2 linked regions of the Styela clava genome follow. The protein of the gene in region 2 purifies or fractionates together with the protein of the main gene of each other region. This does not show direct contact. Links are inferred from orthologs where the notes say so. Each region holds a gene or a part of one and is shown on either strand. Other genes may lie near its edges.

Region 1 (6,925 bases), on a different chromosome or scaffold from region 2:
AGAGAGCTCAATTTAATTTTCGATGGAATGGTAATCATTTTCAAAAAAGTTATTTTGTACAATAAATCTAACGCACTGTAAAATATGGTTTCTTTCTCTTCTAATATCAGGAGCAAGCAACATTTCTAACAAATCTTTTCTTTTGTTTTTAGGCATATTTTTTCTCACGAAATTTTGTCCATTCGATCTATTCCTTCTCGGCGATTGATATTCTCTATTTTCCTTTTGGACTGCACCAGGTGACGAGACTTTACCCTTCTTGGTCGATTCGTTTGATTGTATATTATTCTCTGACTGGAAGGATGCATCTGGAAGTTCATTTTTAGGAAAAACAGTTTTCATATCAACATTCCCCACTGAAATCTTGCTATCAGGTTTTTCCTCATCAGAATCACTGGCGTAACTTTGCATCAATGATCCAAGGCCAACTGAAAGATTTGCCTTCCTATTGGAATCACTGACCATTTCTGTATCCATGGATTCATTGAGAGAATCAGAATCACTCAAATCATCTGAACCATTGCTTATCAGAAGATTAGTATGTTTTCTTTTATCATTATCTTCTGTTTTTGCAACTTTACCAGGTTGAAAAGCTTCGGTTGAGTTGGAATTCTTATCTACCGAAGATTTGTTGCACCCTTTTCTTTTCCGCATTTTACCAAATTCTTTGTTATTCAGAACATTCCCATTTATTAGCCGTTCTTGTGACTTCTTTAACTTGAGTTCTGCATTTGCCGCTGTCGGATAATTTTTTCTACGTTCCATTCTCCATCTTGCTATTTCCTCAGGTGTATCCAACTTTATTTTATGAGCATTAGGCCCATGTGCATTTTGTTTATGAATGGAAACAATTTTAAAATGTGCTTCAAATTTGCAACGTGGCTCGTCACATTTGATATGTTGACTGAAATGTTCATTTTTTTTTGCTTCAGTTTTGAAGCCTCTGTCACAAACATCACAAAAGTCTATAAATACTTGTTCTTTTTGTCCCCTGGATTTAGTTTTCTTATTATTTTTATGATTATTAGGAAATTGATGTCTGACATGATGTATTGGTCCCGGATTAAATTGTCTATATGGTTGTTCCCATGGATTTCCTTGAAAGCCATTCCAAATTTGTTGAGGGGGAGGAAAATGACGTGTTGGTTGATATTGAAACATTGGTCTTGGTTGCCAATAACCTGCTGAATTGCAACCATGCATTCCCTGGCCATTACCATTCCATTGATATTCCATATCCTGTTTCTGGCTACTGTGGATCAAAGTAGATAAAAACTGTAATAAAACAAATATTGGAAAGTTGTTTAATATCACAAGAAATTAAACTTCGATAAGTTCTCTCTATCATATTATCCATGTTCACATAAACACTAATTTAACAGACAGAACCCTTCGTTGGGTATTTTGCTACTAAAAACAATAATTACCCATCTTTTCTTTACAGAACAGCTTTTGTCTACTGGTCAATCAAAACTAATTGGCACACACACTTTCAGACAGGGATGTTCAAAATGAATCGAATACATTCAAAATTTATTAAAATCTATAGATTAGAATATTTTTGTTTGAAAATTAAGGATTTCGAACCATCAGACAAGTTGAACAAAACATACCATAATCAAACTGGTAAAAAAAAAACACAAAAAAATGACCTTTTATTTTTCTATCGTATTAGATGTGATAAACATGAACTTATAGTGATTTATGTAATTTCCCACATGAGAGAATTTAGAATGTATTGGATATTTCATATTTAAAAATATTTTTTCAGAATCTATTTGAAGTAGTAAAATAATCGATTATGGCCATTCCTGCTGTCAGAATTTCAGTTTAAATGTTTAAGGTTCATCCAGTAATTTTGTTGCAGATGCAAAGCAAAATATAGTCATTTTCAGAAAAAACTGCAATGCAGGTACAGCCTATTCTTCAGCAGTGCTTGAAATGAATGATCAGTTATCATCTTTTGCCACAGCTCGGACAAATTCAAAAAATGCAAATTCCACTTTAGTTCAGTCAAGCCAAATCACATTCATTCAACAACTTTTAACATTTGTTATGTTTAATGAGATGAGGACAATCATTCACCTAAATTGCATGAAGACCATAATCATCATTCAAAAGTAGTTAAATTAATTTAGAAAAGGTTATTTACATGCTTACGCACAGCCAATACTTGAAAAATAGAATTTAACAAAATGTGGTGCAGTAATAGGGCCATAATTACGACATATTTTATTTTAAACCTCATGCCTCATTTGGTACTCTTTCTACCGGGTGTGGAATAATTCTACATATAAACTGGCATCACAATCAACAGAATAGAAGTACAAAAATAAAATTTTAATTTACATAGAACCCTTCCCTCCTGTTTTATTATACAAATATGTGAAGTCAGCAAAAAGCACAATCAAATTATTGAGTAATGCTTTTTCAAAGTTTTGTATAATCCAAAAAAAAAAAAGATAAATAATGCCTTTAAGACATCAGTTTTGGGCACGGGTTTGATGATAATTTTGCCAGTTTGCGATCAACTTGATTTTCGTGTGATGATATCTGAAATCGCTAATCCAGTAATCCAACGATTTTCTCACTACAGACAGATAGATAACTGGATAATGTGAAATTCCTTCTATATGAGAATTCGCTACATCTAATGATTACCATTATGAGATCTCCCAAGCTCAATGAGATCTCCTAACTAAATTCCATTCTACTTGGATAGTCATAATGATATCACTACACTCTACACACATCGAAATTATGTAGCTCGGTGTAGGTTAGTGACCAAATTTTGAAATTTACAAGCGCCACAAATCGATCGCGTTAGTTGGGATACTTTGAAGTCTTAATTACAAAAATATGCCCATGATGCTGAAACACAAGACTAATACATGAACAGCACAATACCGTACTAAGCTTTTTCATTCTAAAAAAGCCCATTACGATTACGGTATATTCAAGCATCACACCTTACTGCCTCGAGTCTGTAAGTCTCGGAATTTAACGTATTCAATCAGTCGACACACAACATTAAATACAGCCTATTGCAGTATTATGACAATGTAAAAGCAAGACTGGCCTACTACCTGATCCAGATCAAAGTGACTATAAGCCCCTTGATCCCGATGAATGACCCCGTTTTTATTTTGTCCCTGCAGACTCCCAGTTATTCACGTTCGCGCACGTGTCTGCGTGTTCTCGAATTTATTGACTCCGACATCAAATCAACCGTAACCGGCAAGATGGCACGTTTATGCCCACACTCGGATAAGGGCGTCGGTGCCGGTATTATATAACTTTATACGGGCTTTGTTACCAATATACCAAATTATAGAGGAAAGTACAAAACAGCTTAGGCACGGATGGAGTGGAACAAAAAGGCGAGCAGTAGCGTCTCCGACGAAAACAAAAACAATATTAAAAAGCTGAAAGTAAGAAGTGGACATAAATTCCGCCGACGGAAGGTAGGGCGTTTTATTTTGGTACATACACCACACATGACACACGGTTATTTCTAACCTTTGTGGCTTCCGTCGAACACCTTGCGTTAGTATAGAATAGAACTTATCCCGAGGGGAGGAGGCTGAGTTATAAGGGTTATCTTTGAAGGTGGGTTATCGCGAAATATTGTGTGGCGAATTTGATTCTATCGATTCTATGTAATTCCTGAAGATTTTTGGCGTTAACCGCTCACATAAAGTGGAATTCGTTGGCAAAACACGAATTTTTAAAAGTTAACCCCACAGAAATTCAGTAAGTCAAAATAAACTCATACGTATCGAGTCGATTACATTGTTATTCCACTACATTAAATTTCGTCACAAATACAACACACTGAAATTGTTAAAACAGAATGTCTCAAAAAAGAGAAAGTATTAGCATTAGGACGATTAATTAGATTCACGTATCTTATTTGGGATGGTCTTCATATTCCTCAATGTGTTTTGTGCATGAAAACCTTTTCAAACAGTATCATGAAACCAACGACGAACATACGCATGAAACCTACACCACCTTCGAGACAAGATTGAATACTGCCATACATGCATCTTTTGCAATTGCTTTGTATTTGGCAAAAGCCAAAAAGCACCCTCCTGAAACCTTGATTGTATATTCATTGGAATGTGTGACGTTGATACTTGGAGTGAAAGCACCTCAAACAATGCAACAAGTTTTGCTGTCTAAGGAGAAAAAAAATTTAGAATCAATGAAATGTATGACAATATTAGGAGCATGATGATCTCCCGCCACTCTCCCCTTTCTCATTGAACACCACTCTCCCATTTTTTTGTCACGTCAAACTGAAGCTTAATGCAGAGGAGAAGATGAGGTAATTGAAGGTGACCATATTTCCAATCCCTGAAAGGAGGACATATTGTTCGGTAGAACCACATCTCACCTGTGTCCGAGGGTGACCGTACATTTGAACCCATGTACGTTTGAACCCATGCGTATATCCACGGGTTCAATCTATATGCGGGTGCTAAAACCCATGGGTTAGGGTTAGTATGGGTTTAACTATCCGTGAAACAAAAAAAATTCCATAGGTGCAATAGCATACAGGTGCAATTGTCATGGGTTCAAATGTACGTGGGTTCAAATGTAATGGAACCGTGTCCGAAATATACATTATATATCTACTAAATTCTCTAGGATAAAAAAATTAGACGATGTGACGACAATGAGTTAATGCATTTTTGTCTTTATTAAAAAAAACATCTGCGGAATAATCGATTTATTTTTCCTTAGACCACGAGTATTTGGAAGTTCCTCTAATCCTCGTCAACATTGCTGGGTTATTTTTTGCAATATCGTAAAACTGGATGCAAGAAATGTCGTTAAAATTGTAAACTAAAGTTATTATATCCAATTAAAGAGTCCAGCTGCACACTAACACACATGTATTTCTGTAACGTTTCGTCCGACCAGAATCAGACTTTCTCAGACAAGCAGTTTACAAATTGTTGTAAACTTATTCACAATAGCTTCAACTTTCGTTCGAGCACAAGAATATTTTTTTGAAATACCGGTATTTGAATCTGGAAAAATCTTCTTCATTAGATTTGACGTACTCTGACGAAATCTGTAACTCTGGTGATGTTTCACACAGTGAAACGCCATTGTAGCGTTGGCGACTGCGACATTTTCTTCGATTTGAGTCCCAGGCTCACAAAAGTAGTCGGTTGGAACTCTCAACGTGCAACTGTAAACTGAGTTTGCCTTTATTCGCCACAGAAATGAAAGTACCGTAGCCACAAGAAATGCACTCCGCTTCGCTGTCAGTTCGACCTTTTCTAAAGCATGGGTACTTTTGCTTTAGTTCCTGAGTGAACTGCTAAATTGCTTGGAACTCTCAACGTGCAACTGTGAGCTGAGTTTGCCTTTATTCGCCACAGAAATGAAAGTACCGTAACCACAAGAAATGCACTCCGCTTCGCTGTCAGTTCGACCTTTTCTAAAGCATGGGTACTTTTGCTTTAGTTCCTGAGTGAACTGCTAAATTGCTTGGAACTCTCAACGTGCAACTGTGAGCTGAGTTTGCCTTTATTCGCCACAGAAATGAAAGTACCGTAACCACAAGAAATGCACTTCGCTTCGCTGTCAGTTCGACCTTTTCTAAAGCATGGGTACTTTTGCTTTAGTTCCTGAGTGAAAAAAGTTTTCCTTTTTGGCATAATTTACTGGGTTTTCAGGCGCAAGGATCTGCCACAATCGAAACTTCACGGGATTAGGCATACAAAGTGAAGTGACGTAAAATAGAATTGCACAACAAATGCGATTTTTACGTCATAAACGATTGTGCAGATCAAGCATGCATTTAACCTAGAGTAACCCCGCATGTTAACATAACGCAATGCATTGCTTGTCATATCTAGGGATGTAAGTTTTAGAATTTCGAATCGAAGCAATTTAACAAAAAGTGGCTTGATTCTTTTTAAAAAAAAAATTAATAGATAACACAAGGCAACGCACGCTACAGTGGCGTCGCCTTTATCTCGACCAAAAGTGTTTATTATTATCCTTACAGCTTTCCAAAGCCAGCCGCGACACTCCAGAGTCGTTATATTTCATATTGGTAGCAGCTTTCGCTCAATTTTAATCGACTAGGGCCTACTCAAAATGTTACAAAGTTTCACAAATATTTGAAACGTTTCATTAAATTATCTACATACATCATTGCTTTATACCTTATTGAAAACATGTCTGCGATGCTTCCCTCGTTATCATTGCTTCTTTTACAATCATGGCGCATACGTTACTAACTAGCGTTTATCATTTGGATGAATTTTGAAGGTCAATTTTAGAACAAACAATCGCACCCGGTATTATTTGCAAACATAATTGTATGTAAGTAAATATGTAACTGAGTATACTTTTAGACAAATCCTCCAAAAGGAGGACGTATGATCACCCTAGGTCAGGGGTGGGCAACCTTTTTCGGCTCGCGTGCCAAAATTGGCTAAATTTAACGACAAAATTCTCCCGCGTGCCGACCAAAATTGAAAACAATGCTTTGCAACTTTCAAAGAAAAAATACACAATAATAAACCTTTTAAACATGTACAGACAGATTTCCTATTCTGGAAAATGTCAGCCCGTCAAATAGATTTGATTACTTTCTTATTCTATATCAGTGAGACTTCTGCTGCTGTATTACCGCTGATAGTTACATTGGGTTTATATTTTGTAAGAAAATACATGAACTACTGATTCATCTTTCACCTTTTACGAGACTTGATAAATTTCATAACTGCGAACAGAGATTCACAAGCATATGTTAACGAAAACATGGAGAGTAATGCAGTTGCAAAGTTTTTGAGACACAGAAAATTTTTAGGAATGGCATCCCAATTACGCAATAGTTCGTTTTCTGCACTTCTCTCTCGTATTCCCTTCCCCAATCGCTTATATTTCTTTCGAAATC
Region 2 (7,293 bases):
ATATAAATGTATTATAATTAGTAGACTTGACTTATGTGGGCTTCACAGCTTTTTACAATCTCATGATTAAATCCAATTCCAACCACATTACCCAGGAGTATAATAAATTCTGGTCATCCCAAATATAGCTATTTACATGTCAATGGGTGCTTGTACAGGACCTTGTTCTGAGTATGAAAAAGTATGGTCTGCTTTGTGTTTCTCATTTCACAAAAACAGTCCGATTATTCAGATTCTTAGCTACCGCAAAGTATGTGCAGCTCCAATAATAGGAGTACGACATAGTGGTAAGAAAGAAATTATTGAAGGCTTGTTTGGGAAATTCTATCAAAATTACTTCCCAGGTCTGCTACAAGGTTAGGTTGGTTACAAATGGTGATGGAATTCAAAATTCTAAGAATGGGTTCTCTTTTGGATTAAACTTACTAACAACAGGTTCTCTCATTCAGAAAATAAATAGATTCGCGCAAACCCCCGGATCCCATCACTTGTTACAATCAAATCCTTCCGACATCTTCCATGGTTGAAATCTATTAATATTTGGCAGTGATATTAAAATGGTACAGAAGCACACTACAGTGCATACATGATGAAGCACTGAAGCGAAAGTCTCAAAAAATCACCTCAAATGAAAGATTTGAAAAAAAAATTAAAACACGTTAATGTTCTTATGAAATCATTCACTCTCCTTTTTTGACTTTTTCTTCTTCTTTTTCGGTTTGCCTTCCACCTGTGGAGACTGTACTTCAGTCTTGATCTTTTTTGGTGACGACTCCTGTACTTCGGTCTTGACTTTCTTATCTTTTTTAGATTTCTTTTTAACAACTTCCGTTCCATTGGTAGCACTGGATGTGTTAAGATCATCGTCAGACTCCTGTGTTTCAAGTTTGATCTTTTTCTCTTTTTTAGTTTTCTTTTTAACAGGTTCAGCAGTTGGAGTACAGGGCGCAGTCAGTTTACCATCGGACACGATCAAGGCTTCTTCATGTTTTCTTTTCTTAGGGCCTGGCAGAGTTGAATCCCTGGCGTCATCATACATTTTAACCTCGCTTTTATTTGTCCATTTATCAGCCTGGGCTTTGGCTTTTCCAGTTCCGCTAATTTTAAATGATGTTCCTTCTTCCAATGCCTTCAATCTCATTTCTAATAGAGCACGATTTTCCACTCCCAACTGAGTTGAGGACTCTTCTCCAAGAGCGTCATAACGAACAGCAAGGGCTGTTTTTGCAGCAAGCATTCTTGAGATTTTACCCTTGTGTTTAGGATTGGATTGTCCAACAAGTGAAGCATGATAAATCAATCCATATTTAGGCGTTTCTTTTCTGGTTTTTAAAGCACGAAAAAGTGCTTTTTCAGCTCCAAGAATTTGCACTGTTGAAGCTGGATGTTTAGCAAGGTTAAGAAGAGAACCAGCGTGTGCAATCAACCTTGCACCTACAAGTTCACCAACAAGTATTGTGACATTTGGTGCAATTGCTGTCATACGATTTTTCAAATAGTCATAGAGCTGTGCTCTATAATCAGTTATTTCGATGATTTGCTCACATAAGTAAGTAATCCTGCTGATATCTTCTTCAGATATTTCAGTACCCATTGATACTTCTGCCAATTCTTTCACTTGCTCTTCTATTTCTTCTGGAAGAATATCTGACAAATCACAATTTATTGCTTCTGTTCGGATTCCCATTTTCTTTACGGTCTTTGCAAAAGCAAGATTGTCTGTAACAACTTTACCAAGTTCTGGAAAATGCCAACCATACCATTCCCTACATCTCATTATATAATTATTCAATTCTTTATCCAGGTCATCAAGTAACGATATAGCTTGGACGATCATTGTGTCAACTTTGTCAGGGCTAAATTTCAATTTGTATCGAGAAAGACTATGAGCGAGTCCAAGTGCCATAGCTGTCACATCGCTCTCAGGCAGCCCAGTTATAAGACTGGTCATGTGAGCACGTATTCCTCTCATTAACTCATGTATAGCTGGACTATACAAGCACATTAAATCCATCTTGTCTTGGATTGCATTTCCAAGTTTTGCATCAGCAACCGCAAGTTTTTCATGTGCTTCATTTGCAACTATTTTCTTGAGCAATTTTTTTAAAGGCTTGCATAACTTTCCTTCCACGGCTGCGGTTGTTGCTGAAAGGGCTTCAGTCATATCTTCAAATTTTTTGAAATGTTTCAATTTGACCATTTTGGATGCACTTTCTGCTGTGCTGAAAAGCGATTGCAAGTCTCCGGCCTCTCTGACTTTTGATTCATCAAGAACCTTGAATACGGCATAGCCAGCTGGTGATTCGAATAGCACCAACATTTTGCTACTGTGTTATCTTATACCATTACTGGAAAATGTAACAAATTGATTTGATTCATGTATAATAATACAAACATAGATCTGACAATGTAATCATGGGCAGAATAGCCTCAGGCAGATATTAAATAAATAATAATATTATATGTTATGCTGCAACTCGAGTTGGATATAATTTCAAAGGATTGTGTTTAAATTTTTCTTCTTTTTAGCTTTTATACTTATGAAACGGTGAGAGACAAATCAAATAACATACAACAGAGTTACTCATAAATTGAACTTGGCTACCTTAAAATTAAAAGCATGTGACAGTGTGATGTGAAGCTTAGAAAATGGAACTCTAACAGTCCAAAATAGTTTAGATCTGTAGATAGTCTACTTACTAATCTTAAGACTATGTCCCATTATTTCAAAATTCCATGGTATGGTCTATGAAGATTCAGTATAATAAATTAAATTAATTAAAGAAATTCATTATTCTTCATTAATTAAAGAAAATCTATTTCCTTTTCCTCTGATAGCCTAATAGGAATTTTGGAGTTTCCTCAAGTTCTTGGTATTAGCTGGTTAATGCAATCCATCAAATTCAGAATTGACACAGTACTGCAGACTGCAGTAAGATCCAATATTTTGAATCATTGAATTTGGCTGGGCCAAAACCACAGTTTCGGTTTAAGTATGAAGTAGCCTACTGAAGCAGATGTACAGTACTGCCATATTTAAAATATTATAAATTGAGAATTAAATATGAAAAAAGAGTTCTGAGATATCAAAGAATTTTTCCTATTATATACAACATCCTCACTTCTATATCACAAGATTAAAATTGCAACGTTTAAACATTCTCACTAGACATGTGTTTTCCACCACCGATCGACAAAACAAAAATTCTTGAGGCCAGAAGGCTGTGAAGTCTGAAAGTGTAAGGTCAAGCACAAAAAACCCTCTGAACTATTTCTAAGACCCATCACAAAATATATATAACCATCGCCACGATGTACTATAATGGAGGTCATACGGCAACTCCATGTGTATAACGTCAATAACAAATTAAGCCGATCTCACATTGCGTTAACCAGCGCCGAACGTCGCTGTTCGAGAACTGGAATATACTTTAGGGCCGTCATCGACTCGCTCGACACACACGTGCTAGTTACTTGTTACGCATCAGTAAATGTTAAATTTACGTTTCGTTTGACCGCTTGACCAAAGTGAATCTACGCCACGGTGATCGCTTTGGTTTCGCCATGGCTCGTGGATACTGGATAGTTTTCTATTTTATGCCATTCGATTTTTATTGGACACAAAGAACGCAAAAAGTTCAGGAATCCTGGACATTTTGCACAAAATTAATGTTCTATCTAGAAAATGTTCGAAATCACCCCTTAGGCATATAGGAGACAGACGTGTATCCAGCAAGACAGGGCCCCATCGGCATATCAAATCACGCCCTTGATTGGATAAGTAAACAATTTCAGAAAAGGTGAAGCATCTCATTCATGGACCTTTCCCCGAGCATTGACTTCCTTGTTTACTTCGTGACATTGGCCAATCAGCAAGATTCAAAAAGTGACGTAACAATGCTACCTTTTCGCATCCGCTCAGACACTTTTTTCACTCACACAGATTTTCAGGCGTGGTCGTAAACATTACCTCGTTTTCGCGTTTTTGAACTCTATTCGTTAGTTTTCAGTTGTGTTTCGGGAATTTGAATATAAATTAGATATTTCAATGATCACTCTGTCTTCCTAGGAGTTTTAATTTAATTGCAGTAATAAAAAATTATTATAGAAATAGCTGTGATAGACTAGGCTGAAATTGTTTACCGGTATTTTTAAAAAACAGATTGTTGTATGCGATGAATCATAATGATAAAATATAAAATAAGCCCCGAAAATTTTGCAATGGTAAGGTATAGGAAGAATTTTTTGAGGGTCAAAGGTCGGGGAAAGGTCCATTGGACTTGAAAATGTCAGATTTTTATCTGTGGCGGTATTGGAAGGACGATGTGTATCAGGACATTCCCCATCATTTCAATATCATATTTATCTCTTAGTAATGTCGTACAATCACGTTTTCTGTGTTTACGAGAAAATCACACAGTTGTTGGTCGACAACACTTTTCATTAAAATGCTAGCAAACTGTCGTGTTCTTCAGATATTGTTGAACTTGCGACAATGATGCTGGTGTTGCTGTATGCTCTGAGAGATAGGAGTAGAATTCAGGAATTCCAACAGCATCATACTGTGTCTTCACAATAGAGTCAGATTGCATTTCTGAAATTTCCATTTGGAGATACATAGCCTACGGCCGATCAACAACACTACTTCTCAAACGCATTTCTGAAATTTCCATTTGGAGATACTATAGCCTACGGCCGATCAACAACACTACTTCTCAAACGCCACATATGATAAAACTTTGTTGGAACAGTGAAATGCAATAGAGAGGATTTCAATACGAATATCAGTATGTTGTAGATGTATATTACAATAAATTGAGCAATAAACAAACTGCAAATTTGTCCTATTCAAACATTGTACCATTTCGAATTTAACATTATCAATTTAATGAAGGATGAATAAATGAAGGATGTTGTAGATTATATAATGTAATGTTATGTATTATACACTTGAATTGTTGTAAATGCATGCAAAGAACTGATCTGTTATAAAACGATATGTTGGTGCCATTTTTTAAACTTTGGTGTGGATAATAAAAAAAATTATTTGGACACACGTAGATTTTATTCAATTTACCCAGATACCTCAAGACTCTAGCATGCTTCTAAACACGATAACGCATGGACGCAAGGAGTCATTTGATTACATGACTTCTTTACTTTGTTGACAGCGGAAATATTGGTGTAAATTAATAATTACCTCTGTTTTTATGATCCAATAAATTGTGATACCTTTATCGACATACGGCAACAATCTTAAACAACATTAAAATATGCAATTCATTTTCTTTATTTATTACATAGCGTACATAGCAATACAGGCACAATTCACAATGTTTTCTGGTTGAACCTTTTTGAACTATAACACAACTAAGAATATAATCTTGAATATTAATAATAACTGAATTAGGGGGATTTACATTTTTTAATGATCATGACTCCAGTCTCTGTCTGAACATGTAGAAGCATGGAAGTTGACGGAAATTCCGAGTTGATGAAGAACATTAAGGTATGCAGCAATTTGTGACAAAGTTGGATTTGGGCTTGGAAAAAATCCTCAAATCATTTGGTGTTCTGTAAAACGAAACAGGCAAACTTAACAAAATAAGCATCATTCATGGTAAAATAATTCTATTATTCATACCTTTGTCAGATATTCCACCCGGTGGACAAACAAAACTCGCGATGTAATTTTTATAGTCGGTCATATGTACGTCATGTCCACCGCCAAGGAAATTATCTATAAAACACAAACGAGAATATCGGTCAGAGACCGAAGACTTATCGATCGAAAGTTAGGAGATCCCCCAAAACAGCGCTCTTACTCCATAGTGACACCTTGTGTCCCATCACTAATTAATTAATAACTCGCTATTATACGACATAATTCGCCCAAAATCAATAGGCTACTGGTACGAAATATGATGAATGCACATGCAAAATCTGCAGCAGATCCAATCTCACTTTCGTGAGATATCGCGTGCATCTAACAGACAGACAGATAAACAGACAAATACCTATCAACATACTTACCGATTAAAATCGATAAGTAAGAAAGTAAAAGTTGAGGAATGCAAATATGTCGTAAATATTTTGTAATTTTTTGAAGATAATTCATCATATATTCACCCATATCCGAAACTCTTTCGTTATGAAGTCCATTCATTTCTCTCATGTGCTCATCATGATTATCTTCTACGATGATTAAATTTGTGATATATATATTAGGTCAGGGGTTCTCAAACTTTTGGTGTTGCGGAGCCCTTGAAAGGTTGAATATTATTCGCGGAGCCCCAAAATAAATTTTAAAATTGTTACTTTCAGATTATTATTCCCGAGCAAGTTAAAAGTACTTTATTTATTCTAAATGCTGAATCTTTTCTTTTTTGACATTTTTGGAAGACTTAATTAAAAGGCCGTTAGTAACGTGCGCTATTTCATTTTGTTACAATCGCCGATTTTTTCCGTCAGCATGGCGTGTTTTAAACATCTTTACGCCGCTGTTTATTCTCCCTAAATCAAAAATTTCCCTCGGCATATACATGTATTGTTACACAATGACGACGTTAATTCCTTTTTTGTTCTCGTGGGGAATTATGAGTTCAATGTGAAAAACATGTTACCATATTATAGTCATCGGCGACGAAATGCTAAAAATAATAATCAATAAAAAGGTAAATCCACAACTCAAATTTCTTGATTGAAAAGCGGCATTCTAAAATATTTAAACTGAAACTTAAAATGGAAGATCACACTTTGGTTTCAGCAGACTCACCTCAGATTGAAAACGCTTCTATAGACATTGTAAATCACAAAATTTGGTGTTATGTTAGGTTTTCATCGTAGTAGCTGCGAAATCGAAACACAGCAATTGTGCGCGCGATTTACCTTTTTTTTCATTCTGAAACTACCGACGCAGCCGCACGCAATCAATGGTGCGCGCGATCCGCGATGTACCTTTTTTCATTCTGAAACTACCGACGGAGCTGAATGCAATAAAATAATTTTCAATTGTTCGTATTTTCCCCAGACATTGTGATTTTTTAAACAGCGATATCTTGCTTAAAAATAATCTCAAGTGCGAAAGAACAAATCAAGTTTGACAAATACCAAGATCGCAAAAATACGACACCAATTTATTTATAGTTGGCAGTTTATCACATATTTTATGTTATTTTAGAATAGTATTCTTTCATTTTAGTAATCCTAATAGTAATCTCGAATCAAACGTGAGTAACGATGAGCACAACTACATTATACCGACGAGACACGTCAAATGCTCCATCGGTCTTG

The links. The genes of interacting proteins can lie anywhere in the genome.
Region 1: the proteins of nucleolar protein 58-like (region 2) and FMR1-interacting protein NUFIP1-like purify together in Homo sapiens (co-immunoprecipitation; 3 studies listed by BioGRID and IntAct, with this or other methods). This does not show direct contact. The link is inferred for Styela clava from reciprocal best matches to the Homo sapiens genes NOP58 and NUFIP1.

The regions. Positions count from the first base shown.
Region 1 is NC_135262.1:18,619,723-18,626,647, forward strand, and holds the start of FMR1-interacting protein NUFIP1-like, read right to left. Parts: upstream 3,108-6,925; 5' UTR 3,087-3,107; intron 1,276-3,086; 5' UTR 1,237-1,275; coding exon 13-1,236; 3' UTR 1-12. UniProt on the Homo sapiens protein: Binds RNA.
Region 2 is NC_135257.1:6,828,801-6,836,093, reverse strand, and holds nucleolar protein 58-like, read right to left. Parts: upstream 2,374-7,293; 5' UTR 2,321-2,373; coding exon 677-2,320; 3' UTR 516-676; downstream 1-515. Other genes in the region: uncharacterized protein LOC120346509, read right to left, coding at 5,558-5,574, 5,645-5,740, 6,130-6,195. UniProt on the Homo sapiens protein: Required for the biogenesis of box C/D snoRNAs such as U3, U8 and U14 snoRNAs. Part of the small subunit (SSU) processome, first precursor of the small eukaryotic ribosomal subunit.